Rattus norvegicus: one gene and its partner. The protein of the gene in region 1 purifies or fractionates together with the protein of each later gene. This does not show direct contact. Links are inferred from orthologs where the notes say so. Each region holds a gene or a part of one and is shown in the gene's direction. Other genes may lie near its edges.

Evidence for each region.
Region 2: the proteins of Rfc5 (region 1) and Atad5 purify together in Homo sapiens (affinity purification with mass spectrometry; 4 studies listed by BioGRID and IntAct, counting the BioPlex papers as one, with this or other methods). This does not show direct contact. The link is inferred for Rattus norvegicus from reciprocal best matches to the Homo sapiens genes RFC5 and ATAD5.

What each region holds. Positions count from the first base shown.
Region 1 is NC_086030.1:44,862,016-44,873,896, forward strand, and holds the start of Rfc5 (replication factor C subunit 5), read left to right. Parts: upstream 1-6,306; 5' UTR 6,307-6,387; coding exon 6,388-6,446; intron 6,447-7,502; coding exon 7,503-7,567; intron 7,568-8,724; coding exon 8,725-8,861; intron 8,862-9,753; coding exon 9,754-9,833; intron 9,834-10,623; coding exon 10,624-10,697; intron 10,698-11,676; coding exon 11,677-11,836; intron 11,837-11,881. UniProt on the Homo sapiens protein: Subunit of the replication factor C (RFC) complex which acts during elongation of primed DNA templates by DNA polymerases delta and epsilon, and is necessary for ATP-dependent loading of proliferating cell nuclear antigen (PCNA) onto primed DNA.
Region 2 is NC_086028.1:65,563,846-65,575,727, forward strand, and holds the start of Atad5 (ATPase family AAA domain-containing protein 5), read left to right. Parts: upstream 1-4,724; 5' UTR 4,725-5,128; coding exon 5,129-5,194; intron 5,195-9,202; coding exon 9,203-11,097; intron 11,098-11,882. UniProt on the Homo sapiens protein: Has an important role in DNA replication and in maintaining genome integrity during replication stress.

The sequences.
Region 1 (11,881 bases):
GCAAGGCCCTGGGTTCGGTCCCCAGCTCCGAAAAAAAGACCAAAAAAAAAAAAAAAAAAAAAGAAGACCAGCTGCCTCCTCTACCATCGCGATCCTCACACCCTGCAGTCAGGAGCCCTGATAGACCCTTGTCTCCATTCTTGTCACAGCGAGCGTCAAGTACTCACCGTAGAAGTCACTGTGAAGTGGCCACCTGCTCTCTGCCCCTTCGCTCCACTCTCTTCTTGAAGATGACGCAGCAATGGAAGGAAGCAAATGGAATTCATACTGAGGTGGGCTGCGGCCCCTTGGAGGGCTTATTACACCACAGGTGGGGCAACCACCCCGGAGTTTCAGAACTGATGAGTTTGGGGTAGGGGAAGGCAATCACTGTTTCTAACAACGTCCTAGGGGATGTGGCTGCTGTGACCGCCGCTGCCAATCCAAAGTTCACCGGTATCCTGGCTAAGAGCTGGGGTACGCTTGCCTAGCGAGCGCAAGGCCCTGGGTTCGGTCCCCAGCTCCGAAAAAAAAAAAAAAAAAAGAGCTGGGGTATGGAGATCAGACTCTTGGTTAGATGTCATTGTGCCCCCAATGCCAGGAGAGCAACTTCTTACTGTATCCGCGACGAGAGGCCAAGGTGAGAGCTTGAGTTTCTTGCACCAATTGAGTTCCAAGTGACGCTCTGGACTGACCATTCTTGGCTCGGTTGAGGAGATAGATTCCTAACCCCATCACAAATGACCACACCCTACAAACCCATTATAGACAGGGAGATTCATAGGGTGAAACAGTCTATTGGGGTCCATGTATGCGGTAAACACAGGCTATTCAGAACGCTGTCCCGGCCACGGGAACAGCCTAATAGATGTCAGCTAGAATCGTCCATCCATCTATTTGGCCCTTCAACCGTTGTTGAGTGCTCCCTTTGAGTCAGACCATGTTACAGGCACCAGGTACGTGGTGGTCAGTAATACAGCACCTCCCTCAGTGAGCTACAGTCCACATCCGGGCACACACAGATGATGTCATCAACAGCCAACTACAACAGCATCCAAACAAATTCTTTGTTTTGGGGGGGTGGGGTGTTGTTCGTTTTTTGTTTTTCAGGACAAGTTTTCTCTGGTAGCCCTGGCTGTCCTGGAACTCACTGTGTAGACTGAGCTGGCCTGGAACTCAAGGACCCACCTACCTCTGCCTCCCAAGGGCTGGGATTAAAGGCGTGTGCCACTATTGCACCAAACAAATTCTTTGTACCAAGCACCCTACTCCGGTGTTTGAGGACCCACCCATTAGATGTTGTGAGAACAAAGAGAGGTAGGGCTGGGCATGGTGGCCCATGCCTCTGTTCCCAGCTTGTTTCTGGAGAGTAACAAGACCAGAGGGCCACTGCTCCTTAAATCAGAACAGGAGCGTGGCTACAGGTTAGGACAAAGGTAATTTCATCCTGACCAGAATGTTCCTGGTTTGCATTTGCTAGGGAGTCCAAGGGTAAAGACAGATACGATTCTATTATTTTTGTCTGCTTAGGGTTTACAGGACAACCCAGCCAGAGGTTATCCTGATGTTCTGGTCCCAAATGGCTGCTGACATGTGATACCGTGTCCATAAAAGCCTGAACAGCAGGTGCATTTGAACTTTTATTAGAAAGTGTCCTTTCAGGCTGGAGAGATGGCTCGGTGGTTAAGAGCACTGACTGCTCTTCCAGAGGTCCTGAGTTCAATTCCCAGCAACCACATGGTGGCTCACAATTATCTGTAATGGGATCTGATGCCCTCTTCTGCTGTGTCTGAAGACTTTTTTTTTTTTAAGTGTCCTAAAAAAAAATAAAATAAAATAAGAAAAGAGTCCTTTCCGTGTGTGTGTGTGTGTGTGTGTGTGTGTGTGTGTGTGCATGTGCTTGTGTGTAGATGTTCACTTGAATGCAGGTGCATACATACGTGTGCATGCACATGTGTGTGGAGACCAGAGGTCAACTCTGGTGTCATTCCTCAGAATCTATGCACCTTGGGTTAGAGACAGGGTCTCAGACTGCCTTGGGGCTTGTCCACTAGGTTAATGCTGGCTGTTGTCCTGTCTCTGGCTTCATCATTAGGATTAGAAGCACACACCACCACTCCTGCCTTTTTTTTTTTTAAAGATTTATTTATTATGTATGAGTACACTGAAGCTGTCTTCAGACACATCAGAAGAGGGCATCGGATCTCATTCCAGAAGGTTGTGAGCCACCATGTGGTTGCTGGGAATTGAACTCAGGACTTTGGGAAGAGCAGTCACCGCTAAGCCATCTCTCCAGCCCCACTCCTGCCTTTTTATGTGGGTTCTTGGAATCAGACTCAGGCCCTCAAGTTTGCACAGCAAACGCTTTACTGAGAAACATCCCAGTCCCGAGAATTGGTTCTAGTCTCATCTGACTCTGCCAGCTCAAGGAGGGGACAGTACCTTGCAAAGGGTTATTAGCAGTTTGAATTTAAACATGGGGGCCAAAAGACATGCCCAGGCGGCATACACTGCCAACTGTCTTAGCTACTTTCCTATTGCTCTAGGAGACACCATGACTAAGACAACTTATAGAAGGAAGAATTGATTGGGAGCTTAGCTCTCAGAGGGCTGGTTGTCATAATACAGAGTGTGGCAGCAGACAGGCATGGTGCCAGAGCAGGCTTTGGGAAGGATTAGAAGGTGTGGTGTAGGCATACAGTTTCTTGCAACCTACTTTAAATAAGGGTTCGACCTCTCCTTTAGCCCACCACCCAGCAAAGACAGTAAAAGAAAACTTAGTAGGATGTGGGGGAAGTGGACCCGTTCAGCCATAGTTCCTTGGGGTGTTTCCCATAGCAGTTACCAAATAGGACCCAGAGGCTGCAGACCAATCCTCTAGGCAGGTAGACACCAGGCACAAACCAGCAGCAGCTGTATTTCAGTCCTGAAGAAACAGAAAGGCTCGCCAACCGGCCTGAGGTGAGGCGGCTGAAGCAGCAAGCTGCCTCAGGAGCCTCACGAGCGAGTTTCTCAGGATGGCAGCGTTACCATAAGTTGAGCTCAACAACCCCTATGTAGGGCGAGCCAATACATACGTGTCTGTGTGTCGTTAACGAAGGACAGTGAGGCTGAGCAAACCAATCCAAAGTTCAGTGCTCGTCTCCCAGTGTCTGCGGGGTCAAATTTATGCCTCTTAATCATGGATCCTTTCACCGTGTTTGCTGTATCCAAACATCCTCTCACCTGTGTCTGTATCAGCAAAACATTCTTTCACGTGCCTGCTTGAGCGAGACACCCTTCCACCTGTGTGCCCCAGCAAAACATCATTTAACATAACTACCTTTCCAAAGAAACCAGAAGTTTCCACTTCAGTGTGGCCATGTTGGCGGAGGTGTGTGGTGGGACGTGGGCTTTGAGGTTGCAAAAGCTCACATCATTCATTCCCAGTTAGCTTGCTCTCCCCGACCCCCACTCATGGTTGGTGTCTCAAATGCAAGCTCTCAGCTTCTGCCTGCTGCCATGGGGTCACCCTCTGAAAACTGTAAACAAGCCCCCATGTTGATAACCAGCCCTCTGAGAGCTAAGCTCCCGATAAATTTTTTCTTCTATAAGTTGTCTTAGTCGTGGTGTCTCCTAGCGCAATAGGAAAGTATTGAGACATTTGGCAGTATATGCCGCATGGGGCATGTCTCATGCTTTCTTACGATAGTTGACTTGGCATGGTTTTTCTTTGTAGCAATGGAAAAGGAAGATAACCACGCCTCTTCATCCTTCCCAAACAGTCCCACCAACTGGGGACAAGGTATTGGAATTGATGAGTCTATAGGGGCCTTTCTCATTGAAACCGCCACACCAACCCTTGAAGTTTTCTTTCTTTTTTTAAAGATTTATTTCTTATGTATACAGTGTTCTGCCTGCATGTACACCTGCATGCCAGAAGGTGGCGCCAGATACCATTACAGATGGTTGTGAGCCATCTTGTGGGTGCTGGGAATTGAACTCAGGACCTCTGGAAAAGCAGCCAGTGCTCTTAACCCCTGAACTGTCTCTCTAGTCCGAAGTTTTCTTTGAGATGAAAAAAATACAGAAGAAGGAAAAGGTGGGCAGGGAGGGAGTGTGGCGCGTTCCCCCAATGTGTTAGCTCTGTCGCTGTGTTGAGTCCTTGCAGCCATCCCTGAGTAGATATTGGTGGAGTGCGCTGTGGCACTGGGTCTGGTGCTTGCTAGAGAGAAGGTATCATCGAAATTGTCCCTGAACCAAGTAAGGGAAGTGACTTGTTAATGATCTGAGGAGCCAGTATTCATTCAAGTTAGCCTACAGGGGGAGCATCCCTGGAGCAACACCCGATCCCTGCAGGAGAGTGACGCTCCTTCCTTCCATGATGGTATCAGAAAGGATTTAACCAGCAGGGTGAGGGTTTTCCCACAGCTGCACAGGTAGACACCTCTCTCCTAGTCTTTCTTATTTTGTCTTTTTTTTTTTTTTCTTTTTTAACCCGGAGCTGAAGAACCAGGGCCTTGCGCTTGCTAGGCAAGCGCTCTACCACTGAGCTAAATCCCCTCTCCTAGTCTTTCTTAGTCTGAATACTCTGGTGCCCCCTACCCGCTCTGCTCTCCAGTCAAGCCATGTGCAGTTACGGCAGAGCTGCACACGATAAATTGTAGGAAGCCACTGGATACTCAGGTACGGGTCTTCCATGAGGGGATGCAAACGGCCAAAACGTCCTGCTGGGGTAATTCTTTTGTAAGTGGACACAGCTGAACTCCACAAGATGGCGGCTGCTTGGCTCTAAGGGTAGTTAAGTACACCAAGAGGCTGGCCATGAACTGGATAGGTAGTCAAGGGTGACCTTGCCATTCAAGCGGCCATGCTTGACTGCTAAGTTCTGTTCCCAGGAGCCACACATAAAAAAGACCCACTCCTGACAATTGTTTTTTTGGCCTCTACTGTGGATCATGGCACACACAAATTAATTAAAATTAATTTTCTTTTGATTTATTTGAAGTCAGGGTCTCTCTCTATTGCTCTAGTTGTCCTAGAACCCACTCTCTAGGCCTTAAACTCACAGAGATCCACCTGCCTCTGCTTCCCAAGTACTAGAATTGAAGGTGAACCTGGATCAAAGTAAAACTTAAAGAGGAAAATAAGGGCTGGAGAGATGGTTCAGCGGTTAAGAGCACCGACTGCTCTTCCAGAGGTCCTGAGTTCAATTCCCAGCAACCACATGGTGGCTTATAACCATCTTAATGGGAAGTGATGCCCTCTTCTGGTGTGTCTGAAGACAGCTACACTGTACTCAGATATATTTTTTTCTTTTTTCTTTTTCTTTTTTCTTTTTTTCGGAGCTGGGGACCAAACCCAGGGCCTTGCGCTTGCTAGGCAAGCGCTCTACCACTGAGCTAAATCCCCAACCCCTGTAGTCAGATATATTAAATAAATAAATCTTTAAAAAAAAAAAAGAGGAAAATAAAATTGGTCGCCAGGTAAGTGGAGCTCTCTTTTAATCCCAGCACTTGGGATGTAGAAGTGCAGGTGGATCTCTGAGTTTGAGGCTTGCCTGATCTACAGAGCGAGTTCCAGGGCAGCCAAAACTACAGAGAGAAACCCTGTCTCAAAAATAAATACATATAAATAAATAAATAAATAAATAAATAAATAAAAAATTGGTCTGTGATCCTCTCACTGTAGGAGAAAGTGTGTGTGTGTGTGTGTGTGTGTGTATAAAACAGAGATGTCTGTGTGTATATTTATGAATGTGTTATATGTATACATGTATGTGTCTATATGTAACTGTGTGTACTTATGTGTATATGTCTGAATATGTTCTGTGTGTAGATATGTATTATACATGTGTATGATGTGAGTATATATGTATGCGTGTGTATGTGTGCATATCAACTGTGTATTTGTGTATACATATGTGTATATGTGTGAGTGCAAACGTATATGTTTGTATGTAAGTGTGTGAGTGTCCGCGAATGGGAATGTATGTAGATGTATATCTGTATATGTAACTGTGTGTGTGACTGTGTGTGCGTGTTGCTGGTTATGGAACCAAGGGTGCGCTGACCACACCCCAGCCTCAGAAGTGTTTCTGGCTCCGGAACTCGCTGCCCCTTTGCGGCTTGCCCCTTGCGCTGGCAGGATCCGGTCCTGGTGAGGCCTGTGGTAAGTCTAGCTGTAGTGTGCTGCGTCTCTAGTCTTCCTGAAAGCCTAAGACTGCCGGCTCAGGCCCTAACCTGGCTGCAGGCCCGCGACTCCGGTTACCTAGCAACCAGCACCTTAGCAACCGGGAGGAGGCGGGGCTGGGGCCGGAAGCCGGAAGCCGGAAGCCGGAAGCCGGAGGCGAAGACTCGCGAGGGTTGGTTTGCGCGCGGACTCCGAGTCCAGTGGTTCGGTGGCCGGTCCCTGCAGCATCTGTCAGTCATGGCGGCGGCGCCTTCGCAGCAGCAGCCCCGGGCGGCCCGGGCCCGGAACCTGCCCTGGTAGGAGCGGCCCCGCATCCTGCTTCCCTCCCTTCTTCCTAGGAGCTTTGCATGTCCCCCTCCCGCTCCCGGCCGGATACCTAGCCTTTGCGCCGCAAGCCGCCCCTCCGCTTCCAAACCGAACTGTCTGTGATCTTATGCCTGAGTTCAGCTCAGCCATCCTCAAGTGCCTCGAGCATCGCCATTGCGCTCTGATGACCCTAACAGATGGATCCTGGGTTTCTTTAGAATGGTTCAGAGACCGGAGGAGTGGGTAGGCTAGGATTCGAACTCGTGTTCGAATTCAGCGCTTGCATTCTCTCCCTCTTATTTGCGGGGGAAGGGACCGTAGCAGCGCACCTTTGTGGCGGTGAGGATAACTTGCAGGACCCAGTTCTTTCCTTTTACTGGCATGGATTCCCGGGATCCACTCCAAGGCCCCAGAGTTTGCATACTGATAGACCTTACAGCAGTTTAGCGGTGTTTTAAACAAAGCCTGCCCAGCCATGCTTTCTTTTCAGTTTTTCTGGTCTCTACTGAGGAGGAAGAATTGCCTTGGATCACACGTTAAATTCTCAGGAGTGGAGTTACAGACGGTGTGGTCTTTTGAGTGTGACTTCTGGAACTCAGGGTTGTTCTTTTCGGTAGCATGGTTCAGCACTCAGTTCCCGCTTGAAAGCCAAATCCCAAGTGTATTGCCCTTCACTTGCTTGTGGGTATTTGAGTATGAGTCGATGCCTAACTGAAGCTGTGCAGTCTCAGCGCTGTTGTCTTGGGGGCGGGGGCACTGTTGGTGTGGAGCAACAGGGAGCTGTCTTGCCCACTGGAGGATGTTCAGCAACCTCCTGACCTCTCCTCAAAAGAGGCCACTAAGACCCTCTGCAGTTATTACAGCTAACCGGCCTGACAGATGTCTCGTGGTAACTGAACAGCTCTTGGTTGTGAGTGCCACTGACTCTGTTCAGACGTGAAGGGTTTCTCTTCCTCTGCTGCTAGGACGTGAAGGGCTTCTTTGCATGTAACAGAACCCATGACTCTTGGCGTATAAACTGTAACGCATGGTGAATCCTTTTTCAGGGTTGAGAAGTACCGGCCACAGACTCTGGCCGATCTCATATCTCACCAGGACATCCTGAGTACCAGTGAGTACCTGTGTCTGCTGCTGTTGTTGTCCTGGCGGGAGGGTTTGGGTCCATTTCGTGAAGACGCTGTCCCTGCTGGATGACACTTAAGGATGGACTGTGCTTTATAGAATGGGCTGTGTGTTTCCTTCTCCATAGTGCACCAAAATATCTAAGAGGACACATTTTTAAAGATTGGTTTGTTTGTTTTGGTTTTTTTTTTTTTTTTTTTTGGTTCTTTTTTTCGGAGCTGGGGACCGAACCCAGGGCCTTGCGCTTCCTAGGCAAGCGCTCTACCACTGAGCTAAATCCCCAACCCCGATTGGTTTGTTTTTATTGTAAGTGTGTGCTCCATGTGTGCCTGGTTTCTTCAGAGGCCAGGTGAGGGCCCAGGATCCTCTGGAACTGGAGTTGTAGGCTATTGTGAGCTGCCCTGTAGGTGCTAGGAACCAAAACCAGGTCCTCTGCAAGAGCACCCGGCTTAGCTGAGGCACCTTGTCAACTCCCCCATCCCCAAGACGACAACAGAGAGGAGAGATGACTGACTTTGCCTTATGGGTTCAGAGGTTCTGGTCCACCGTGCTTGGCTCTGTTGACTCTAGACCCTTGGTGAGCACAACTTCATGGCAGTGGGGGCATTCTGCTCCATAGTAGACAGGAAGTAGAGAGCTAAGCGGGGGTAGGGGTGAAGGTGGGGAATGGAGGTCAGTATGAACCTCAAACGCATGTGTTTGGTGGCCTGATTCCTCCAATGAGGCTGTGCCTCTAAACCAGTGATTCTCAACCTTCCTAAAGATGTGACCCTTTTAATGCAGTTCCTTGTGTTGTGGTGACTCCCCAACCATAAAATTATTTCATTGCTACTTAATAAATGGAATTCTGCTATTTACTGTTATAAATTGTAAATGTTTGATATGCAGGATATGTGTGTGATATGTAGCTCCTAAAAGGGTCAAGACTCACAGGTTGAGAACCATTGCTCTCAACTTTCTAGACCCTCCTGAGATAGAGAGACAGACAGACAAACCGTGGTCTGACTCCAGGACATTCCCTCCCTGTCTGCTCTGACTGGGTCACTGAAGAACTGAAGCACGTCTGGATGTAGCTTAAACAGGTGCTAAGGTGAGCATGCAGGACCCAGAGACTGACGTGTGTCATTGCTTCTTCCTGTCCTGCAGTTCAGAAGTTCATCAGTGAAGACCGCTTGCCACACCTACTTCTCTATGGCCCTCCAGGCACAGGAAAGACATCCACCATTCTGGCCTGTGCCAAGCAACTGTACAAAGATAAAGAATTCGGCTCCATGGTCTTGGAGGTGAGGAGACACTCTCACTCCACAAAAGCTCAGACCTTCGGACACTCACCTTTGGTCCTTTTTCACTCCCTGACCTGGTTGGGTTTGGCGAGTGGGATCTTGTGTGTGTGTGTGTGTGTGTGTGTGTGTGTTGGGGATGGGAGAGGGTGGTTTGGGGGGTGTCAATCGACACCAGCCCCAGGGGTCAAGACCCACAGGTTGAGAACCACTGCTCTACAAACACCTTTAAAAATGTCTCTTCATCTGGATCTTCTCAGATTACTGCACTGAGACATGCCATCTGTGGATTGTTGGGGCCTTGGCTGACAACTTTAATACCCTTAGGTTACAGAAACCTAATCGTGGTATTTGAAAGAAAAGCATTTGAGGGACTGGGGATGTAAGTCATGCACAAGGTCCTGGGTTTGATCCCAGCATAACAAACAGGTTGTGTACCTATAATCCCAGCACACAGGAGTTGGAGGCAGGAGGGTCAGAAGTTTACGGTCAACTTAGGCTATGTGAGTTCAAGGCCAACTCAAAGACAAAAGACCCTCAATCAAGAGGAAGGCATTTGACTTAGGCAGTAGATCTGAGGCTCAACCCCTTGCTGGCCACTCTTCTTTCTCCAGCTTTTTCAAAGCACAGCAGCCTCCAGGCAGTGAGGGCTTAAATTAGCATCAGTGGCTGGTGGCAGATTTCCTGGTTCAGGGTTTTATTTCCTGTATTTATGTGGATGCTCCTTGGAGGAGGAGGACTGTGCCTTTTAGGATGATGTGTGATGGCACGTGAGGCTGAGTCCAGGGCATTCGTTTTTGATGACTGTATCTTAGCTGTCATTAGATCTGAATGGCTGGATGACACTGGCTGCCACACAGTGTGATTGTGACGGCATCCTCTCTTCCTTGTGCAGCTGAATGCTTCCGACGACCGAGGGATCGATATTGTCCGGGGGCCAATCCTCAGCTTTGCCAGCACAAGGACAATCTTCAAGTGAGAATTATTTGTAGAATTTCTCTCCCCGCAGTTAGTGCAGGGCTGGGACACAGCTTCACTGTTTGGGCCCCCCTTGGCTGGTGTGAAAGGGAAGAAGGGGCGACTTGGTCAGAAGCAGGGACCAGTTCAGTGGCTGGAGAGGTGGAAATGCTTGAAGATTCCAAGAGCCTTTGGCTCCACATGGGTCCTTAGCTGGACAATCACATCCAATGCTGGATGAGCTGGTCTGAACTTAAACAGGGATAAGTGATCAGGAAGTATGACTTACATGGTGGTCAGTTAGGCAAGGAAGAGGGTGATGAGACGGTTCAGTAGGCTAAAGCACTTGCTACCCAGTCTGATGACCCCGAGTTCGATTCCTAGGACCCACATGGGAAAAGGGAGAACTGATTCCCTCAAGTCATCCTATGACCTCCATATTTGTGGTGTGACGTGATACTTACATACTCTCTCTCACACATGCGCACACAGTGCTAAATAGGCTTGGGTGTGTGCATAGCCATGGGATGTTTGTGCATGGCCTACTCACATCCCTGGGTTTCAGTCCTGCCCCACAAGCGAGCAGCTGACACAGGATACGGTGGGTAAGGAAGGCTAACACCTCAGGGTGGAATTAGCTGTCACTTCTAAAGGATGAAAGCGTGATTGGCAAGCGTGAATGCCTCAGCTATCAGCCTACATCGGGATCTGAGAAGGATGGACTTGGGGTAGCCTGAGTGTGAAGATGGAGATTCAGCCTGGTGTGGAAGGAAGCTGAGGACACCTCCACATGCCTTTGTTCTCCTAGGAGAGGGTTTAAGCTTGTGATCCTGGACGAAGCTGACGCCATGACTCAAGATGCCCAGAATGCCTTGAGACGAGGTGAGATTTGCTGCCCCATCTGAACTGAGTGAACTGAGGCCGGGAATTCTGGGTACATGTGACCTTTCCATCAGGAGGCACCATTTAGTCCAGTGATTCAGACAAGACTGCCCTGTAGGTAGGTCCCCTTCAGCACCCTCAAGATGGGTGGCCTCTGTCATTCAGTGGAAATAAGGCTTAAATCCCTTATCCACTGGCAGATCCTCTGTCTTTGGTAAAAGCTAACACCAGGAAAGACTGAGTGCAGGGGTGACCATGGTATGGGGTGAGTCCTGTGTTTTCCTGTGGAGTAGGGCTGGTGCCATCCTGTTGAAGACCCGTTGTGTGCAGCTCCTGCTAACACTGCTGGGAGGGAAGAACAGCTTCAGGAGCCTGGAAAAATGAGACCTGGGAGAGGGGAGCAGGATGTGTTCTGGTTCTAGCGTGTTGGCACCCTTCCTTCAGCATCTTGTTCTGCTGAGTGACTCGGTGTGGGCAGATCTGTGTGGGGACACTGGTCTCTCCGTGCTGCTGGCTCTTGCTCCCTGAATGCTCCTAGACTTTCAGACATGGGCTGCAGGGAAGTGTGCAGAGTCAGCTCAGACAAGGTGGGTCTCAACAACCTCAGACAGCATCTTGTACAGAGGGATGGGAGCTCTTGGACGGGGGGCCAGATCTTGAGGAAGAGTGCTAGAATTGTGGAGGTGATAAAAAGGTGCATTTGTGCGCTCTGATGGTGCGTGTCCTAGCTGTGCAAGTTGGGCGTGCTGACTCACACTGGACCGAGTCCACGCACTCCAGAGATGGGGGCAGGTGGGTCACCTGGAGTCTGAGCCCAGCGTGAGCTCCATATACACTGAGAGCTACACAGGATGGGGGCTGAGCTGAACTGTTGCTCATGTCCCATAATACCCTCTACCCCCACAGGCCACGTTCTCACTCTCAGTATCCTTAAGCTTCCCTGGGTCCTCTTATGTGAAGTGTTTGGTTTCTCTCCCAGTGATTGAGAAGTTCACTGAAAACACCAGGTTTTGCCTCATCTGTAACTACCTGTCCAAGATCATCCCTGCCTTGCAGTCACGGTGCACGAGGTTCCGATTTGGCCCTCTGACGCCTGAGCTCATGGTTCCTCGGCTAGAACATGTGGTACAAGAAGAGAAGTGAGTTTGTTTTAGAAGAAGGAAGAGGGGAGGTGTGGGGATTTG
Region 2 (11,882 bases), on another chromosome or scaffold:
TTGGTTTGACATGTCCCCACCCTAGCACTGCACAAAAAAAAAAAAAAAAAAAAAAAAAAAAAGAAAGAAAGAAAAGAAAAAAAGAAAAAAAAGAAAAACAGGAACTTCAGAGTTGGCTCAGCAGTTCAAAGTGCATACTGCTCTTGCAGAGGAACTGGGTTTGTTTCCCAGTGCCCATGTAGGGTGGCTCCCAACCCCCTTGTTACTGGCAGAGGAATCTGATGCCCCTGACCTTCTCAGACATTTGCATATATCACACACAGACACACACTCCCACACATAATTAAGAATAACAGCCTGATTGATGGTGGTGCATGCCTTTCATCGCCGCATTCAGGAAGTAAGTGGATCTCCGTGAGTTCGAGGCCAGCCTGGCCTACAGAGTGAGTTCCAGGACAGCCAGGGCTACCTGGAGAAACCCTGTTTTGAGCACCCACCCCCCCAAAAGAATTGTAACAAAAAAAGTCTTTTAAAGAATTTAAATAGGGGTTGGGGATTTAGCTCAGTGGTAGAACGCTTGCCTAGCAAGCTCAAGGCCCTGGGTTCGGTCCCCAGCTCCCCCCCCCCCAAAAAAAAAAAAAAAGAAAAGAAAAAAAAAAGAATTTAAATAGCTGGTCATGGTGGCACACACCTTTAATTCCCACACTCAGGAGTCAGAGGCAGGGGGATGTATACTGATCTACAGAGCAACTTTCAGGACAGCCAGGGCTACAAAGACCTTGCCACAAAAAAACCAAAAACAAACAGAAAGCCAACCACTGAAAGTAAACATCTCTAAGCTTTAGCTTCTCCTTTAAACTGATCATCAGGAAAGAAAATATCAAGGTGCTTACTTGTAAAGGCTGGATTATATGGCTGTGCAAAAGCACACACAGCACACACTCATATACAGAATATTTAAAGAGCAACTGGGGGGCTGGAGAGATGGCTCAGTGGTTAAGGGCACTGAGAGCTCTTCCAGAAGTCCTGAGTTCAATTCCCAGCAACTACAACCATCTGTAATGAGATCTTATGTCCTCTTCTGGTATGTTTGAAGACAGCTACGGTGTATTCATATATAATAAATAAATAAATAAATTTTAAAAAAGCAACTGGGAACAAAAACAGTAAGGGCCCTCTGCTTGCTTTCACAGTCCAGCCGTGACAGCACATACCTAAGTGGAAATGTGTAACCTAATGCATCAGGTACAATGGAAGCTCAGAAACCTTAAATTTAAACCACAGGATTTTGACCAAGGCAAAGTAGACGTACAGAGGTTTCCTTAGAGAAAGTAACCCCAAAGCTAGATCTTGTGCTCCTTTTGGGGTTGGCTGTCTGTCTTTTTCTTCTTTTCTTTCCAAAAATCTGTTAAATAATAGTAAAGTAACTTAATGTTAGAATAAGGAACAGGAGAAACACTGGCAAATGAAGGGGCACAAAAGACTACCAGCGGGGCCTGGAAATGGTTGGAAATTGGGAGGTAGATGAAAGAGGTGTAAGTGCCCGTGTCAACAGAAGGAAGCTGCAGCTTAATCTGCAGCGAGGAACCACTGGGCTAACTACCATCTGAAGATGCCTGAGGAATTCAGGTTAGAAGAGCCCAGATATAATGTTTTGTTTGTGTTTTGCTTGTGTTTTTGTTTTGAGATAGGGTTTCAAGTAGCCCAGGCTAGCTTTAAACATACTGTGCAGTGAAGAATAATCTTGAACTTCTGAACTTTCATCTCTACTTCCTAAGTGCTATGATTACAGGTGTATGCCAGTATATCCAGTTAACTCCAGACAAATGTGTTTATATATGTGTGTGTGTGTGTGTGTGTGTGTGTGTGTGTATATACACATATATATATGTATATATATGTATATATATAGGCATATAGGCATCTTTTTCCTGCATGCACGTTTGCGCACCCCACTCATGCAGTGCCTATGGAAGTCAGAAAAGAGCATCAGAACTCTTAGGCCTGGAGTTACCCATGGTTGTGAGTAGCCATGAACCTGCCTGGACTCAGGGTTTCTCAGTTAGGCTGGAGGCCAGGCACCATTGTCCTCCTGTCTCTGCTGGTCTCAGAGTTGGCATTCCAGCCATACACACAATGCCCAGGTCGTTCCATAGGTGCCAGGATGGAAACTCCAGTTTTCATGATTGTGCCTCAAGCTCTCTGAGCCACTGTGACGCTTCTCCACAACAGTGACAGTTTACTTATTTGCTCTTATTCTTATTTCTCTTTTTTTCTTTTTTTAAAATTTATTTTATTTATTATATGTAAGTACGCTGTAGCTGTCTTCAGACACACCAGAAGAGGGCATCAGATCCCATTACAGATGGTTGTGAGCCACCACGTGGTTGCTGGGAATTGAACTCAGGACCTCTGGAAGAGCAGTCGGAGCGCTTAACCACTGAGCCATCTCTCTAGCCCTTTATTTCTCTTTAAATTATGTGTATAGTTGTGTGTGTGTGTGTGTGTGTGTGTGTGTGTGTGTGTGTGTGTGTGTGTGTGTGTGTGAATACCTGTGAAATTCAGAACCGGGCACCAGATCTCCCGGAGCTGGAATTAAGGGTTGTTTTAAGCTACCTGACTTAGGTGCTGGCAACCAAACTTAGGTTGTCTGCAGGAGCAGTGTGCACTCTTTTACTCCTTTTCTTTTCTTTTCTTTTTTTCTTTTCTTTTTTCTTTTTTCTTTTTTTTTTTGGAGCTGGGGACCGAACCCAGGGCCTTGTGCTTGCTAGGCAAGCGCTTTACCACTGAGCTAAATCCCAAACCCCGCAGTGTGCACTCTTATCCACTGGCTGAGTCATCTCTCCGGGAGCCCCTTACTTGTTTCTTGGCTTTTGTTTGTTTTCCTTTATTTTGTTTTAATATATTTGTTTGTTTATGTACATGAGTGTTCTGTCTTCAGACACAACAGAAGAGGGCTTCAGATTCCATTACAGATGGTTGTGAGCCACCATGTGGTTGCTGGGATTTGAACTCAGGACCTCTGGAAGAGTAGCCAGGGCTCTTAACCGCTGAGCCATCTCTCCCGTCTCTGTTTTTGTTTTTAAAGATTATTTGTTTTTATCTTATATAGGTGAATGTTTTAGCTGCATATATGTCTCTTCGCTGTGTGTTTGCCTGGTGCCACAGAGACCAGAAGAAAGTGATGGATCTCTCAGAGCTGGAGATGTGGACAATTGTGTGCCACCATGTGGGTGCTGCTAAAAGAACCTGGGTCCTCTAAAAGGAGCCAGAGCTCTTAACTGCTCAGCCATCTCTGTAACCCCCTGCCCCATGCTTGGCTTTTTATTTAGTTTTACTTTTTGGGAGTGCTCAGGATTGATTCCATCCCCTCATCAACAGTAGGTACTCTACCTCCTTGTCCCTCATTTCTTTTTATTCTTGAGAAGGATCCATTGTATGGTTATGCCGTAGCGTGTTTATTAGCCTATCTGGTAAAAGGAAAGGTACTATCATAGATGGTGTTATGGAGCACTTAAGTCTTTAACCACTGTAGCAGGCTTTTACAAGTACTGTTTATAATGGCTAAATTGTGGGCTGGGAATATAGCTCAGTAGTACAGCACATGTCTTCCACATCTGAGGGCTGAGAGATGACTCAGCTCTAAAGGGCCTTGTTGCTCTTGCAGAAGACCTCGGTTTGTTTTCCAACACCTACAATGGTAGCTCATAACTGCCTGGAACTCCAGGGAATTCAATGTCTTCTCCACAATTATCGGCACACACATGGTATATATACACATACATGTAGGCAAAACACTCATTCGCATAAAATGAAATAAATATTTTCAAAAATTAAAAAATATTAATATAGTGTGAGTTCCAGGACTACATAGAGGAACCCTGTCTCGAAACAACAACAACAACAAAACAACAAACCCACAAAAAATGTATTTGTGTATGTGATATGTATAATATGTTCCTGTGTGTTAGTGAAGGTGTACATACATGCAGTGTATAGAGGTCAGCATGAGGTGTTTTTCGACTACCTCTTTTTATCCTTTTTTAGGTTTTTCTAGATAGGGTTTTTCTGTGTAGCCCTGACTGCCCTGGAATTCTCTCTGTATACCAGGCTAGTCTCGAACTCCGAGATCTGCCTGTCTCCTCTGGTAACTCCAGAGTGCTGGAATTAATGGAGTGAATGTGCCACTGTTGCCTGGCTCCTCTAGCTCTTTTTAACTTCTTCTTTTTTTTTTTTTCCGGAGCTGAGGCCCGAACCCAGGGCCTTGAGCTTGCTAGGCAAGCGTTCCACCACTGAGCTAAATCCCCAACCCCTCTTTTTAACTTCTATCTATCTATCTATCTATCTATCTATCTATCTATCTATCTATCCATCCATCCATCCATCCATCCATCCATCCATCTATCTATCTATCTATCTATCTATCTATCTATCTATCTATCTAATCATCTATCTATAAGACAGAGTCTCTTGGCTGAAGTGGAACTTTCTGTGTAGGCTGGCCTCAAACTTAGAGATATATGCTTCTTCATCCCCAATTCACAAACACTTCCTGGCTTCAAAAACATAATTTAAGAATGGCTAAAGTCTAAGTTTTAGTTGGGCCACCAAATGATTAGGTAACCTTAGACAAAACACGTTTTCAATTGTCAAACTGTAACATCGAAATGCGAATCCCTAAAATTCAACTAGATTTCTAAGCTAGAACTGGTGCTATAGCGCGCAGATTCGCCAAAAGAAGTAGTTTGGCCTTCGCGGCTCACCGTCTGCGCAGCCTCCAATAGCGGTCGTAGGCTCCGCCCCTTGCGTGCCGGACGGCGCGAAAACCCAATTGACAAGAACTCCCGCCGAAGCCCCACTGTTTGACCTGCGTTCGGTGTGCGGCTTCCAGTGCGGCCTGGGGCTCGAGCTCTTAGCCTGGAGCATCAGGCTGGGGAGGCATTGTGTATTGTCCGGCCGCCTCCTTGGGGCCTGTGCCCGGGCTTTCCCGACATCTCTGTCTGAGCCTGGCTCGACCACCCTGGGCCCAACCTCACACTCGGCTCCGGCCGGTGGTCTCTAAGAGACCCGAAACGGGCTCCGCGGTTCGCAGCCAGCTCCCACTGGACTTGCCGCCCCTATGGCCTCCAGCCAGGTTGAGCCGGACCGCTGGAGGTCCTAGGAGCTCGGGTTCTAGGTGGCAGGGATCATGGTGGGGGTCCTGACCATGGCGGCGGCTGCAGCACCCCCTCCTGTTAAGGACTGCGAGATTGAGGTATCTGTCAAGTTCCTTTCTGCCCGTGTTTGGGAATTGTGGTATGGGGCTGGCGGGAGTCCTTGCTTCTGGGACGAGAAAGGAGGAACACGATGACCTACAGTTAAAATTGTATGTGGGATAGTTGCCTCGGTGTGACTTTTAAAGCTCTTTCAAAAGCGTTGGAATTTTAAGATATTTTCGGGCTCGCTGTTAAGTCAGAATTTGAAAAATCACAGTTCCCAGGTCCTGAAACGTTCGTTTGGAATAGCATGTCACCAAGGATTTCAGGGCCACTTTCTTTGTTCGTGATGATGTCGGGTTACAGAACGGCGAAAAAGATGAAGCTTTAAGTTCAGCTATTCCCTACAAATATAAATATACCTGTCCTAGGAATTCCATTTAGAATGTCACTTAATGGAATCAAGTAAGAAACTTATGACAGTTTCTTGTGACTGCAGAACTTAATGTAATGTGGTTAAGAGTCTCTGTGGCATGTTAGGTGTTCAGTATTTACCACGTTTTAGAGAATACTCAAAACTAGGACAGTGCTTAAGGTAGGAAGCCCTGGGATTCTGAGAAAGAAAGAAAAACACACTAAGCAACCATAACGATATTCTATGCCATTTAGAAGTAATTTTTAGGATCTTAAAGTACATCCCTGACCTACTTTTTCTCCTGTCACCATTACAGGCTTGTGCCTCTTCATAGCTGCTATGGTTTATACACTATAGCTCGGGCTAGCATTTGATGTGTTCTGGTGCCCTTAAAGTGAGTTAAGATGTGTATTCACTTACATTCTGACTTTTAAAGATTCGTTTATTTATATGAGTACACTGTAGCCGTCTTCAGACACACCAGAAGAGGGCAACAGATCTCATTACAGATGGTTGTGAGCCACCATGTGGTTGCTAGGAATTGAACCCAGGACCTCTGGAAGAGCAGTCAGTGCTCTTAACCTCTGAGCCATCTCTCCAGCTCAGATTCTGATAATTTTTATAATCAAGTAACTTTTTTCAACTACAGAATACTTACATTATTTACTGTGTAGCACGGCCAGGCTGATCTCAAATTCATCATCTACCTACCTTAGCTTGCTTGTTCTGGGATCACAGGCATGCATCATTCACACCTAGTTGATCAAGATATATATATATGTATATCTTATATGTATACATATATATGTGTGTATACATATGTGTATATATGTATATATACATATATATAATCTTTATTAACTTGAGTATATATTTTTTTAAAAAAGTAATTTGCTTAAGATTTCCATACCAGTAGATGTCGGCTGGTACTTGAACTTAGATCCTACATGAGTGTCTGTCGTGTGGTGCCTCTGATACCGTCTCAAAGCTTTATAGATGATAATAATTCATTTTAATTCACTTATTATTTCAACATATTTAATTTTAACCTCATTTGTCTAAATGGTCTGTTTGTCCCACTATCCTTTCTTACCCCTGCCCGTTATTTTGAGTGTTATTTTTACCCCTTACAAATTCTTTTTACCCCATAAAATTATTTTGTTACATTTAATTTATTGTGTGTGCAGGGGTCAGCATATGTATGAAGATCAGAGGACAACTTGTGGGATGAGAAGGCCAGTGAATCTCTTAATTTGAGGCCAACCTGGTCTACGGAGAGTTCCAGGACAGCTGGGGCTACACAGAGAAACTGTCTCAAAGAACAAAACAACAACAACAAAAACCCCAAAAACCAATAATTCAATATATGAGCCTATGGGAGCCATTCTTATTCGAACCACCACCACAACATATTTGCTTAATTTAGTGAATTTCTAGACCAGGTTTACAGGTCTTTATAAGTATATTATTTAGACTTGTTTGAGCTCTCATCCTGTAATCCAGGAGTACAACCTAGGTTCATTGTAGTCCTCCTGCCTCACCTTCCAGGGTACCAGGACTATAGAAATGAGTCACCATGCCCGCCTTTGTTTATACTTAAGCCTACAGTACACATAGAAATGAAATGAGAAATAATGTCCTTCTAAGAACCGGCTTAGAAATTCTAATCTGGTAAATTCAGAACAGTAAGATATTTTCTTAGTGTAGTAGCAAGGCTGATTCATACCATTTACACATAGTCAAGAAAACAAATGTAGACCACAGGAAATAAGGCAAGTTAATTTTCCCTGTGCTACCCCACATGTTTCACAATTCATATCACCTGTAAACCCATTAAACCTTTGTAAGATACATGTACAATCAAAAATGGGAGGGGTTGGGGATTTAGCTCAGTGGTAGCAAGCGCAAGGCCCTGGGTTCGGTCCCCAGCTCTGAAGAAAAAAGAAAAAAGAAAAAAAAAATGGGATCACTGTTGTTAGTGAACCAGCAGCTCGATGAGCCCTAGTCAGATTCAGTATTCACCAGTTTTGCTCTAGAGCCACAGAGAACAGCATTGAATGTATGTGTTGATCCATATTATGACATGAGGGTTTTGGGGCTTTCTTCATTTTCCCCCAAATAGTATATCATGTAGCCCGGCCTCAAACTCACTAAGTTCACCTTGACCTTCTGATCCTCCTAAGGCTATCTCCTCAGTGCTGGGACTGCAGGTGTCCACCATGCCTGGTGGGCATCAAATCTGGGGTTGTGTACATGCCTAGGCAGTTATTCTCCCCAACCTTAGTTACTACGATGAAGAGGACGTTTGTTTTTGATAGTATCTCCTGGGGTTCATGATTTCCTATTTTGAGCCTTATGCTCTCTCCTAGCAGCCAGTGTCTTGCTGAGTATCATCAGCTATACTTGGGCTCATGATAATCTCTGCTTAACATGACTGAGTGCAAGTATCATTGCTGACTGAAAGTGATTAACATAAACATGACTATCCTTAGTGTCATAACCACCTTGATTCTGTGAGGGTGATGGCTAGTGCAGGAGGTAGGCAGTGGATTATGGTAAAAATTAAAATGGTAGACTCGTGGCAAATGTTCTTTGATTATCTTTTTACCATGAGTTCTAGTAGAATAATATTTTAGCATCCAGGGCTTCTTAAGTAAATTACTATTTCTTAGAGATACTTAGAATGATATGTATATTTTTAACCAAAAAAGTAAAGCAGAAGGGGTTGTTGGTAGGTTCCCTACCTTGCATTAGCTTCCACATACTTTTATGTATTATGGCGTCTGTGAGGTATATGGTGCACTTTTAAGGTTGTGAATACAGGTAAACCTTTAGTCTCACCATTTGGGAGGCAGATCTCCAAGTTTGAGGACAGCCTGGTCTATATAGTGAATTTCAGGACAGCCAGATATACATAGAAGGGTTCTGTCTCAAAAGTATAGAAATAAATGAAATAAATAAAGTAAAATAAAATAGAAGACAGTAGGAATTTATGTTTTCTTGTGAGTTTAGCTTTGTTCGAATATAAGCTTTTTTTTTTTTTCTTTTTTTCGGAGCTGGGGACCGAACCCAGGGCCTTGTGCTTGCTAGGCAAGCGCTCTACCGCTGAGCTAAATCCCCAACCCCCCCCCTTTTTTTTTTTAAAGCCAGAGACTCACTATATTTACTGGCCTAGAGCTTGCTATGTAGACCAGGCTGGCCTCGAATTCCTAGACATCTGTAAAAGTAGCCCTCTCTGCTAGGAGATAGCTTAGTGGGCAAGAATACTTCATGTACAAGTTTAATGACCTGAGTTAAAATCCCTAGCAAAGGTCAGGTATGGCTTTTATCCCTGGGATTGTGGGGAAGCAAAACCAGGAGGGTTGCTGAGACCTGCTGGCCACCAGCCTAGCTCCAGGTGTAATTAGGGACTTGTCTTAAGGGAATAAGGCTGAAGTGACATTACAGGATACCTGACATTCTCTGCCAGCCTCTGCATGCATCCTCACATACATGTATGCTGGAGTGTATCACACACACCTCACATGTATACACAACGTAGCCTTCTGTAGTTTTTCTACCCAGTTTAAACTGTTAAATCTGTGTTTACAGCTCATATTTCATATTGTTTTACTTGAAATAAATTGTGGCTTTTTCCCCCTTAAATTGCTAGCCATGCAGAAAGCGGAGAAAAGATGATGACAGCTCTTCCTGCGAAACAATTACCAAATATTTATCACCAATAGGGAAGACTGAAGACAAGGTTTTCTCTCCATCGAAACCCAATAATATTCTACATTATTTTAGAAAGACCTCACCCACAACTGAGAAGCTACAATCTACAAAGGAGTGCAAGTTAAAGCCATCTCCCCCATTGCTTGTTGGCAACAGCAAAGACTGTAAGATACCATTGGAAGTGTTCTCAAATAGAGAATCTAAGAAGAAAAGAAAGAGAGTTAGTTTATCCCATCAACTGAATGATGTCAAAATTGAGAATGAGTCTCCAGTTGAAATTAGTAATGATGATAGTAAGGAGGACTGTGGTTTAAGTGATTTTGTGGAAAACAGTACTTCTGTTTTCCTTTACAAGAAACATGTGGAAGCTCTTGCAGAAAGTATTCAAGAAGACAGCAGAAACCAGTCAAATACTATGACCTCCAAAAAAAACTCTAAGAAAGTAAATCCTAAACAAGGCACCACAAAAAATGATGGAAAGACATTGAGGAAAAGGAAGCATAGCCAGGGGACGGACCAGTCTGAAAGTGTACTCGTAGCAGATGAAATAAGTCTGCCAGGGGAAGGTGGCAAAGACAGCAGGCTGACTAAAGCTTCCCTAACTGATGAAAACAGGACTGCACATCATGTAGACTCCAGGGCTCATGCGACTAAAATAGCTGATTTAAACGAGAGCACAATTACTGTTTCCTATGAGGAATTTTTAAAAAGTCACAAGACAGCTAAAGTGGAAGACATACCTGACCTGGCAGGACCAGCCTGCGTTCCTTCGGGGCCCAGCGAGGCTATCAAAAGTGGTTCTGAAGGTGAACCAGAAAGCTGTGAACCATCTCCACACCTACACCTTAAGACAGTTACTGTTCTTGCACAAGTTCATCCTACTCCCCCTAAAAAGAAAAGGAAAATACCCCCAATCTTCTTGAAACAGAAACAGCTTGAGCTGGAGAATAGTTTCTCTGATCCAGAAAATGAGCAGACAGTTCAGAAAAGGAAATCTAATGTTGTGGTCCAGGAGGGCCAATTGGAACTGGCTGTGCTGGAAGCTTGGAGCTCTGAGGCTTCAGTACCAAAGTGCAGCATGGAAGAAAGACAGCAGTTCATGAGAGCATTCAGGCAGCCACCGTCGGAAACGCTCAGAAATGGACTCAAGAAACCTTTGGAGAAGCAGAAAGATCCAAGTGAAAAATCTGTCAATGAAGGAGATAGCAATTCTGAAAAAATCATAGAAAATCCTAATATTCAAAGAGTTTCAAATCAAGACTGTTCACAGGCACACGCTGATAGAGGAGGTTTTCCTAAGGAGAAAAGTAAAAGGCCAAATAAAAAGGGTAAGAAAACTCGGACCACCGCAGCTGGAAACAGAGAAGAAAACATGCAAAAGGAAAAAACAGCCTTTTCCTTAAAAGATAATCAAGATCAAAATACCCTACGGAGGAGTGTAAGACAGAAATCAGAAGTTTTCAAAAGCAGTGCATTACTCAACAGTGAAAATCTTGTTTCTGAGGATACGGCACGTGACTCTGTAAAACCGTCTCTGTGTGACAGAAATAAATCAAGAAGAGGCAGCACACCAACCAGGGATATGGTCACACACGGCAAAGCTGAGCCTGGAAGCGGGCTGGTGAATGTCTCCACACCCAAACCAACCAGGAGATCTCTGAGAGGTAGCAGTACACCTACCACGGTCACCCTGGGAGGTACTGAGTCTGAGGATGCCCAGGACACTGATCCAGTGAAGGCTTCCACTCCAAAAGCAGCCAGAATATCAGAAAAGCCCAGCCTGTATACAGCAGAATTAATAATAATATCCTCTGATTCCGAGAGCCCCATTAGGTAAAATTTTGTTTTCTCAAGTTGGAGCATTCTACATGTATTATTAATTGGGAAGGAAAATTCTTCAAGCACTGCAGAGTTCATTTATTTTCTAGAATACAATTTATTTGTAAATAATTTTTTATGTGTATACAGCTCTGAGGATTGGCTCTCATAGGTTAGGCAAATGGTCTATCACTGAACCACATCCATATCCTCTTTTCATTTTGAGGCAAAGTTCATAGGTTACTGAGAGTGGTTCTGATTTTCCACCAGACCTTAAACACATTATCCCTCTCTGTACTCTTCCCAAGTAGCTGGGATGACAGACCTGAGCTACCAAACCTGGCTTTTGTTTTGAGATAGGGTTGTACTCTGTAGCCCAGGCTGGCCTAGAACTCACTATGTAGCATAGAATGTTTTCAAACTTATAGCAATCGTTCTGCTCCAGCTTCCTGAGTGCTGGGATATCTTGTGTGAGTCATTGCACACAACTTTAATGTCTATTCAGACATGTTCTTGCTATATACAAAATTAGTCTAGGACTCAAATCCTCTTCCAAGTGCTGGGATTCCTGGTGTGTATCACCACAATATAGCTAATTTAAAGTCCATTTCAGAAGATTTGCAGATAGATTTCAGTTGAATTCTAAACTCTTATTTGTCATAATTGATAATCCTTGGAGAAATAGTCCTCAGGTATGAATTCATCAAATATGATATTAAAAATAAATCCTAACATTTTTTATTACTGTTTTGAAGCAGGGTGTCTCTGTGTACCTCTGGCTGTCCTGGAACTCTCTGTCC